Linked DNA regions of Mus musculus. The protein of the gene in region 2 interacts with the protein of the main gene of each other region in a pairwise test. Links are inferred from orthologs where the notes say so. Each region holds a gene or a part of one and is shown on either strand. Other genes may lie near its edges.

Region 1 (4,558 bases), on a different chromosome or scaffold from region 2:
CTTCTGCTCTGAAGGAAACTCTCCTTGAGGCCTATATGAGTATTCATCTCCCATAAGCTATTCATTCAGGCTACCTGATAGATCTCATTGTTTTCCATATATTGTTTCTATATTCATTCCTTTTGTTTTTACTTTATTTGAAAGGATAGTTCTTCCTTTAAAAAACATCTGGTCTCTAATTGGGTCAAGGAGAACCAGGAAAATGAAAGTTTGTGTCCAAACTTTAAAAAAGTAGCATCCCATGGGAGCTGAACACAGGGACTCTCTTACCTAGGGTCACCTCAGCCTTCCTGCCCATTGAAACCTCAATGGAGGCAGTCCTAGTTTTGAAATCCAATGGGTTCTGCTGAACCTATTTTGTTGGTACCCAGAGCTAGGTAATTTCAGATTGTTTGTTTGTTTTTGAGACAGGGTTTTTCTGTATAGCCCTGGCTGTCCTGGAACTCACACTGTAGGCCAGGCTGGCCTCGAACTCAGAAATCCACCTGCCTCTGCCTCCCGGATTAAGGGCGTGCAACACCACTGTCCGGCTCTTTTTTTGTTTTGTTTTGCTTTTTGTTTTTCGAGACAGGATTTTTCTGTAGTCCTAGCTGTCCTGTAACTCACTCTCTAGACCAGGCTGGCCTTGAACTCAGAAATCCTCTGGCTCCCAAATGCTGGGATTAAAGGCGTTTGCCACCACTGCCCGGCTTAATTTCAGAGTCTTATTCCAATAGGTGTGGCATTGAGCAGGTGAGAACTTCAAACAGTAGGAACAAGAGAGGAGAAACAACACTGATGTGGTCTGTTTGGCTTTGTGCAGACAACAGGAGACCACACATAGTCAAATAGAGAAGACCAGAAACGCCAGCAGGCTTGGACAAGACCACCCCCAACCTGGCCCTCCATGCCCACCCTCTCTTGCACATTACCTCTTATTCTTTCTAATAGAGAAGGTAAGATCACAGCAAAAATTTTGGGCTCCCGAGGCCACCTCAATACCACTACACTACTATGATTGACACAATCTCCCCTTCTACTCCCGCCACGTTCCTGAAGGTTTTTCCTCTATTCATCCAGGAACCTACAGGTTCTCCCCCAGCCAACACCTGCGCGCACTAATTCCCTGGTTCTGATCAACAAGTTCAATAGCTGGGGCACAAGTCACTAGACTCACCTGTCTGCTCCCACTTTGGCTCCTGGTCCCGACTCCCTCTTTTCTCTACACTCAGCCCTAGTATATTTCAGTGCACATCATCCTGGACACATTTCACTAAAGTACTCTCAGGGTGCACACACAGAAAGTATAGACGCGCGGGGCTGGCAAGCCTCGGCGCACACACAGACGGGGCACAGGCACGCACTCACGTAGTCACGCCACGCACAGGCAAGGAAACCCCACTCGTGGCTGAGAAGGTGGCTCAAGGTGCAAGCGGGCAGCAGGGTATCTCCTGCCGCCCCGCACGCGTCGCTCTCAACACCCTCCTTGTCCTCAAGGCCCAACAGGCCAAAGCGGATGCCAACAGGCAGAGCACGTGCTGGGCACCACCGATCGATCCCCGCGTCACCCACTCACCCAAAATGCCTGAGGCCCTGAAATCGACAGTCGTGACTTAGTCTAGAGAGTGGATGGGAAAATGGGTACTCAAACCCAGCTCCATTGACGACGTTTTAAATCTGGCCTGCCAGGCCCGGGATTCGGCCTCTGTCCCGCAGGCACTTCACTGCTTCTTTGGGTCAGGCTCCAACCCTGGGACCATGTGCCGGGAATCCAGACCGTTGCTATGCAACCTCCATCCCGCGCGGGCCACTGAGCGCCTCACTGTCCCGGGACAGAATCTTAACTTCCCACCTGGGCTGATCTGGACACATGGTTAGTGGTCGTTACGCACTCGGAGTGCCAGGTGATGTGCCTTGAACACCTACATATCTTCTTCACCCAGTTCCTTCCATCCCTGGATGGTTCCCACAGGGCGCCAGCACCCAGCAACCCATAATCTGAGGGCGAGATCAGCTCCCTACCTTTTTCTCTCGAGCCCTCTCGCCCTCCCACACCTGCCTTTCTTGACTCTACCTGGCCCTCCCCCTCGGGGTTTACAGTTTTCCTAGGTCCGGCTGCGACCCTCTCCCCAGCAGCCCAGGCGCCCTACCTGAAGCATCACTTTGTACTGCTCCTCCGGTTTCTGGACCACACACATATTACATCCCATGATGCTGGCCGGCGAGGGAAAGAGGAGAGCGGGAAGAGGAAGGTATCTTTCACTGGCCAGTGCGTGGGACCACGGGTCCCGGGCCTGGGCCCGGGGCCATACCTTACCCCGGGGGGCCGAGCCGCCTAGCGGGGGAGGGGGGCACGCCCCCAAGAGGAAGGCAGCTCCAAGCCTCTCGACTTAACTCTTTGCTGGCCGAGGCCAGACACAGGCATGCTCCTTCGCACCCAGCCAGGGGAAAAAAAGGGCGGCGGGGGATGGGCGGGCGCGCCGGGCGTTGCCTGGCTACGGCCCCCCCACCCCAGGAGGCGCGGGAGCGCGCCTGCCCGCCGGGGCCGTCAGGGGCTGTCAGGGGCCGTGGGCCACACGGCTCCCCGCCCGCGGGGCCGGCCGCTGCCGCTGCCTTTGCCGCTGTCGTCTCCAGCTCCCGCCCATGGCCATCAGCCCCGGGAGTCCAGCCTCTGGGCTTGGCGACGTGGCCCGGCCCGCCGACGGAGAGGCGGCCAGGCCCACGCCAGCTGTAGCCTCGCAGGGTCCCGCTTCTCTAGCTCACGGCGCTCTCTCAGAGCCTGGCCCACAGCCGGTCGCTTGTCTCCAGCTCCTGCCTGGAACACCGGAACGCGCGCGCGCGCGCCCGCAGCAACAGCGGGGGAGGTGTGCGGAGAAGGGGCGCACGCGCGTGGGAGAAGCAGAGGCTGGGTGCGGGCGGGAGCGGCAGGGGGCCTCAGGAGTCGGCGCAGGGAGCTGAGGGCGGGGCCTGAGTCCCTGAGACCAGATAATGCCAATGTCCGAGGGCGAGGTGTCTAGTGGACCTGTCTGCTAGGTGTGTCCCTGAGAAAAGAGGATCCTGTCTGAAGAAGAAGCTTCCCTGGACTCCTGAAGAGAGTTCAGGGCCTTGGTCTCAAGGAGAGGCTATTTCACCCCTTTCCCAGGTTCTAAATGTATCAGCCCCAATGTCTGTACTCCTTCCTCTGTCTCTCTTTAAAGACTGGTTCCCTGCTTTAACTGAGCCATTCCCTTGCTATCTCTGAAACGGATACCTTTGTTTAGAAGAAAAACGTGGGGGTGCTGTAGGTGGCAAGAGAACTACAGAGAAGCCTCATTCTTTGGGGCCTTTATGGGCACCCCCCTTGCTTGCACTGAAACCGCTGTCTGTTTCTCAGTTCCAGCCTTCCCTCCTCACACTTCTCCTTTAGCCTCTTCCCTCCCACAGGCTGCCCCTCTTCTTGATAAACCAGAGGAAAAGATGGCCTTTGGCTAGATAACAATGACCGATTGAAAGCTAGGTTCCCAGAGGCTGCCTGAGAGAGCTGCTTAGCCCTCTTACCTGCAGAAGATCCTTTGATAAAATTGTCTGGTCTTTATCTCCAGGCTCTGGCGAGTGAGGGGATTTATAACAGCATAGAAATGTTTAATTAACAGTATTGGGGGAGGCTGCTTCAATACTTTTCCTTTCCACCCCCACTTTGGTTCAAAAGACAGAAATAGGAATAACCTGAAATCCAGAAAGGAAGTATGAGTGCTTATAAACTGTCTTTCCCAGAAAGCAAAACTTGAGCCTTTCAGGAGATGACCAGTAGATCTTCCTGAGGAATACCCTTTTTGAGAGCTCAGTACAAATGTCTGTGGATGGGAGGCACTGTGTTTAGATCAGCCCCGGGGAGAGGAGATGGACCCTAGTCCTTCCACCATGGTTACTGCCACAACAGCCCCCTCTGCCCTGTAATTTGAGCTTCCTCATGCCTACAGCATAAGATCTAGATCACCTTACTTCAAGAGCAGTCTCTTAGAAATATCCTCTCCAAATCTTTTTACCTTCTAATTGTATGTATTTCACCAAGGTCCTGACCAGTCATCAAAAACATTTTCCCCCAGCCTAGCCCACAGAACTTAGCACAAGTCTTTCTTCCTTCCTTCCTTCCTTCCTTCCTTCCTTCCTTCCTTCCTTCCTTTCTTCCTTCCTTTCTTTCTTTCTTTCTTTCTTTCTTTCTTTCTTTCTTTCTTTCTTTTTTCAAGACAGGGTTTCTCTATGTAGCTATAACTGTCCTGAAACTTGCTCTGTAGATCAGTTTGGCCTCCAACTCAGAGATCCTCCTGCTCTGCCTCCCAAGTGCTGGAATTAAAGGTATGAGCTATTACTACCTACCTAGCAGGATTGGCCATTTCTTCCTCTACAAAAGGGTATGGCTTCCATGGAGGCTTTCCCTCCCAAATATCCCTCAGATCAGCAGCATGCTTTTCTTTATCCTGACATGAGCTAACTCATAAAGGAACTAGATTGCAATTGAGCCCCTGCCTGAGTTCATGTGTATGAGCTTAGGAGAAATGGCAGGACCATAGAAGCAGGTGGCATGGGGACTAAATTACCT
Region 2 (4,333 bases):
CTTCCAAATGGTACGAAAACTGGGTGAAAAGCCTTTATCATATAGGACTTTGCGGATACTCATATCCAAATGATAGCCTATGCTATGAGGCAGACTTAGAAGACAAGAAGAGATGGAAGACATAGGAGAGCTACAGCCTAATAAATAGGTTCTCTTCTGCTAGGAAACAGAAACTGAGATCAGGAAAACAGAAAGGTAATAGCCTAAACAAGAGGAAGAACAAAGTATGTATGCATGTCTGAATGCCAGTAAGTATGATCTATCAACAACAGGAATTGCCAAGTGCTTGTTGTGGGTCAGGCACTACTGTTAAAGCTGTATGGACAACTTTACCTTATACCAGCCCTATCATACCAAAAGATTAACTTGTCTACCTGATAACTGACAGCAGGGCCAGGATTTGAACCCAGGCAATACGGCTATAAACCCCTACTCTTTTACTTTGAAATTATACTGTAGATGGAAAGAGTATTGAAGCTGCCTCTGCCTCCAGGTCCTAGTTGCTGGCAGATGCCCTGCAGTGACTGCTATAGTGAAATGACAAGCAGGCTGCTGTGATTCTATAGTCATAAAGGCACAAATGTTTTCCCTTTCCTCAGTCCAGGGACCCAGAGGCAAACTGACTACAAACACCTACGACTCATGAACTACATGGGCCTCCTATCTGTGTTTCTCAGAAACCTGCAAGAGGGGGAAGAATCCTGCTGTGTCTTCTGGAACTTACCTTTGTTCAAAATCCTTGCTGTGCTCTGTGTGTTGTTAATAACTTAATACTAATCTCTAACACATAGGGCAAACTGAGTCAGACCGAACCAAATCGAACTTTCGTCACTATAAATAGAACGCCATGATACATGAGGCAAAATTAAAAAAAATCAAAAGCCAGCAAACAAGCAAGCCTTCCCGGGTTTTCCCCCAAGGCATGGTTTTCTAAGGAACAAGAGACATGTTCTTGTAAGTTATACAATACCATATACCATATACCATATACCATATACCATATACCATAGCGCTCTGCTCAATAAACACTGGGTGCACTAAGACCGTATTTCTTACATTAAGAAAAGGCTAATATCAAACGGTTCAAACTGATATCTTGTGGACTGTGCTGGGTTGTTTTGTTCACTGTTGGGGAAGCCTTCCAATCAGGTAACACATAGTTAAGTCTTAAAGGATACATATACGTTAACAAAAAAAAAAAAAGTAGTAAGGGGTTCACGTTGGCTAGTTTTATGTCAACTGGGCACAAGCTGTGGTCATCTGAGAGGCAGAAACTTCGGTTGAAAAAAAATGCCTCCATGAGATGGGCTGAAGGCATGCCTATAGAGGAGTTTCACAGTGATTGATGAGGGAGGACTCTGCTCGTTGTAAGTGGTGCCACCCTGAACTGGTGGTCCTGAGTTCAGGCTGAGCAAGCCAGAGGGAGCAAGCCAGTAAGCAGCACCCCTCTATGCATCTGTATCAGTTCCTGCCTCCAGGTTCCTGCTCGCCTGTACTCCTGTCCGGACTTCCTTCTATGATGAGCAGTGAAGTAGAAGTAGAAGCAACATAAACCCTTTCCTCCCCAAGTTGCTTTCTTTGGTCATGGTGTTTCACCACAGCAATAGTGACCCCCCACCCCCCAACACAGACCAAAGTCGTTTATTTGATCTGCACAACACTTAGAACTCAAGCCAACATTTTTGAATCAGGAAATTTCACACAGAATATGACTTTCTAAGTGTCCCTCAAAAAAGCAGAATTTGACACTGCGTCTATACCTCCAAACAGCAAGAAGAGGCTAGAGACATGTAATGAGATCTCTAGTTGAGGTATATGGTGGTCCTAGAGTTTTCTTTGTGGTTTCCTCAAAATATGGGCCAATCTAAAATGCTAGGTATTCAAAAGTCTTTGACAAATCACCATCTGAAACCACCCACTTCTCCTTCTATACTTGAAAAACATCTTCAGCTTCTTTTTTGTATGTGGCTATTTTCTGTCTTGATAAATTCAATCACAGCTCTTGAATCACAGGTTATTTTGCTGATCTGGCACAACACTTAGTATGAAAAAAAAATCTGTATTTCTATGATGACCGTCACCAAGATTTACTAATAAGGGATGACAAACATGTCTGCTATCAATGCACCTTGATTCTGATACATTGCTTCTACTTTCCTCGTTCTCCATATATAGGGATGGCCACCAGGGACCTGTGTCCTATATGCAAAATCTCCCTTTCAGTCGTGCCTAATTTCAAGGTTTATAAAGAATTTGTGAAAAGCCACTTATTCCAAGACAATAATAGTTCAGATGCTCTGCATTAAATATTTCCTGTTTTATTTTAAATTGAGACCCCTTGGCTAGACGAAAGGTTAGTAAAGATATAATTTTGTGGACTTCCCCTGAGTCTTCTGCAGGGCTTATCAGTTAGTATCGAAGCTGTTTATTCTTCTAGTTCGCTAGTTCACCATTTTCTTAGCACTAGAAGGCATTTCATAAGCCTGCGTCCTGTTTAACTGAAAGAAAACCCATGTTGCCCCAGGGCCCATTTTCCTTAAAGAAGAATCATTTCCAAGAGCTCCCACCTCATAACGTCAAGTAAGATAGGCAAGGACAACTGCCCAAAAGAGTGCCCTTTGGGGTGCCTGACAATTCCGGTAGAGCAGTCCTACTAGCACAGAGGGGCCTCTGACTTTCGCGGACTGGGTTAGGAATTAGCCGCCTAGAGCTCCTGGCCGAAGCCCCACCCCGCGGCCCGTGACCCCACCTCGCCTGCTGTAGACCGCCGTCCTTACCTGCGCGCCACACGGCCGCGAGCAACAGTCTCCTTGAGCTTGACAGCCAGACATGGTTCTGACTCTGCTCCGTTATCTGTCCCGCGCTCGTTCCAAGTCTGAGCGGCCGGCAGAACGCTATTAGGCGACAGAGCGGGCAGCCTGGGGGCGGAGCAAGAGTGAGAGGCGGAGTCTGAGGGGGACCTCGTCCCTTTGGAGAATCTGCGGCGGCGCAAACCGGCCGGTGGGCGTGCCCGTGAAGGTTGGAGGCGGTGTTAGAAGGACTAGTCCTCCAGTCCAAGGCGGGGAGCGTGCGCTGTGGGCGGGGCCAGCCCATGCAAGGCGGGGCCTGGACGGGCCTTGAGGCCGCCAATCTAGTTGACTTGCGAGCTTTCCCGGAGAAAGCCGGGAAGATGGCGGCCTCCTGGAGGCTTCACTGTAACCAGCCGCTGCTTCGGTACCTTCTGGGATTTAGCAGCCGTCGAAGCCTGGGACTGGCTCAGGGTGCTGCTGCTTGGCCTGTCGACCGTGGAGCAAGTTGGAGGTGGTTTCACAGTACTCAGCTGCTGCAGGGTGAGTGGCTTGCGCTCGCTCCACTTCTCTCTTTAGCTGAGCAATGGGGCCTGGGTCAGGGGCTTTCTTGATTGGGGACACGGTTTGTGAGGTTAAGTGCGGACTCTTCCTGTTCCTTTCAACCTCCCCCAGAAACGGGCCTGCTGACTTAGCCTATGGCATGCGGCAAAAGAACTGTCTTCAGACTTGGGAGAGCATGGTTCCGTCCTTGGCCTGCCTTCAGGGCTACATGGCTTCTCTGTGACCTTGCTTTAGAATTTGAGAAATTTCGATGTCACCTAGGGAGGGTCTGTTTTAAATCCCTCTATTTTAGACCCTTATCAATCACATGTCAAATTTCTTTAATTTTACCATTCCTCTCTAATGTAATATAGCTGCCCATACATTCAAAGCCACTATTACCCATACTGATTCATTCAAAGGACCTGTCCCTATTGGAAAACTTTAAATCTTACTGCACTTAATGTATGCAGCATACAAGACTTAACTTAGAAAATACAGAATCACAGACATTGCTAGAATGTTTCAAGTAAAATATGTGGCATGAAATTCATACAGCCTATTACATAAAATTGTTCTTAAGCAGTGATATTGAACTCGGAGATATACCCACTGTCCTTCCGTTATTTAACATACAGCATATAAAATGGCAGACCTGGCATTATTCTTCCTTACGTGTATGAATATGGGCTGGGGGTTAGGATGGGGGCACAGAAAACAGTTTTAGAAACCATTAGACATTTAAGTAATCATTCTTACCACCACCTGGTACAGTAGGCCTAGCCCACACTTTCTGAGCTGTCTGAGGCCACAAAACAAAACAAAAAAAAAGAAAAAGAAAAACAATAAAATCCGTGTGCTGAGATTTCTAAAGAGGGGCTAATAGGGACAATTTACCTAAGTCATTTTTGGAGTAATGTTTAATAAATACTTCCTGGATATTGTCTTTAACTGTATAGTATATAATATTTTCTCTGCCTGGTCCTCATTTGTTAAAACTGAAC

Evidence for each region.
Region 1: the proteins of Apip (region 2) and Pdzd4 interact in a two-hybrid assay, tested with the Homo sapiens proteins (2 studies listed by BioGRID and IntAct). The two-hybrid records come from large-scale screens. The link is inferred for Mus musculus from reciprocal best matches to the Homo sapiens genes APIP and PDZD4.

What each region holds. Positions count from the first base shown.
Region 1 is NC_000086.7:73,822,153-73,826,710, forward strand, and holds the start of Pdzd4 (PDZ domain-containing protein 4), read right to left. Parts: upstream 2,818-4,558; 5' UTR 2,190-2,817; coding exon 2,130-2,189; intron 1-2,129.
Region 2 is NC_000068.7:103,072,286-103,076,618, reverse strand, and holds the start of Apip (methylthioribulose-1-phosphate dehydratase), read right to left. Parts: upstream 2,945-4,333; 5' UTR 2,832-2,944; coding exon 2,778-2,831; intron 1-2,777. Other genes in the region: Pdhx (pyruvate dehydrogenase protein X component, mitochondrial), read left to right, coding at 3,170-3,329. UniProt on the Homo sapiens protein: Catalyzes the dehydration of methylthioribulose-1-phosphate (MTRu-1-P) into 2,3-diketo-5-methylthiopentyl-1-phosphate (DK-MTP-1-P).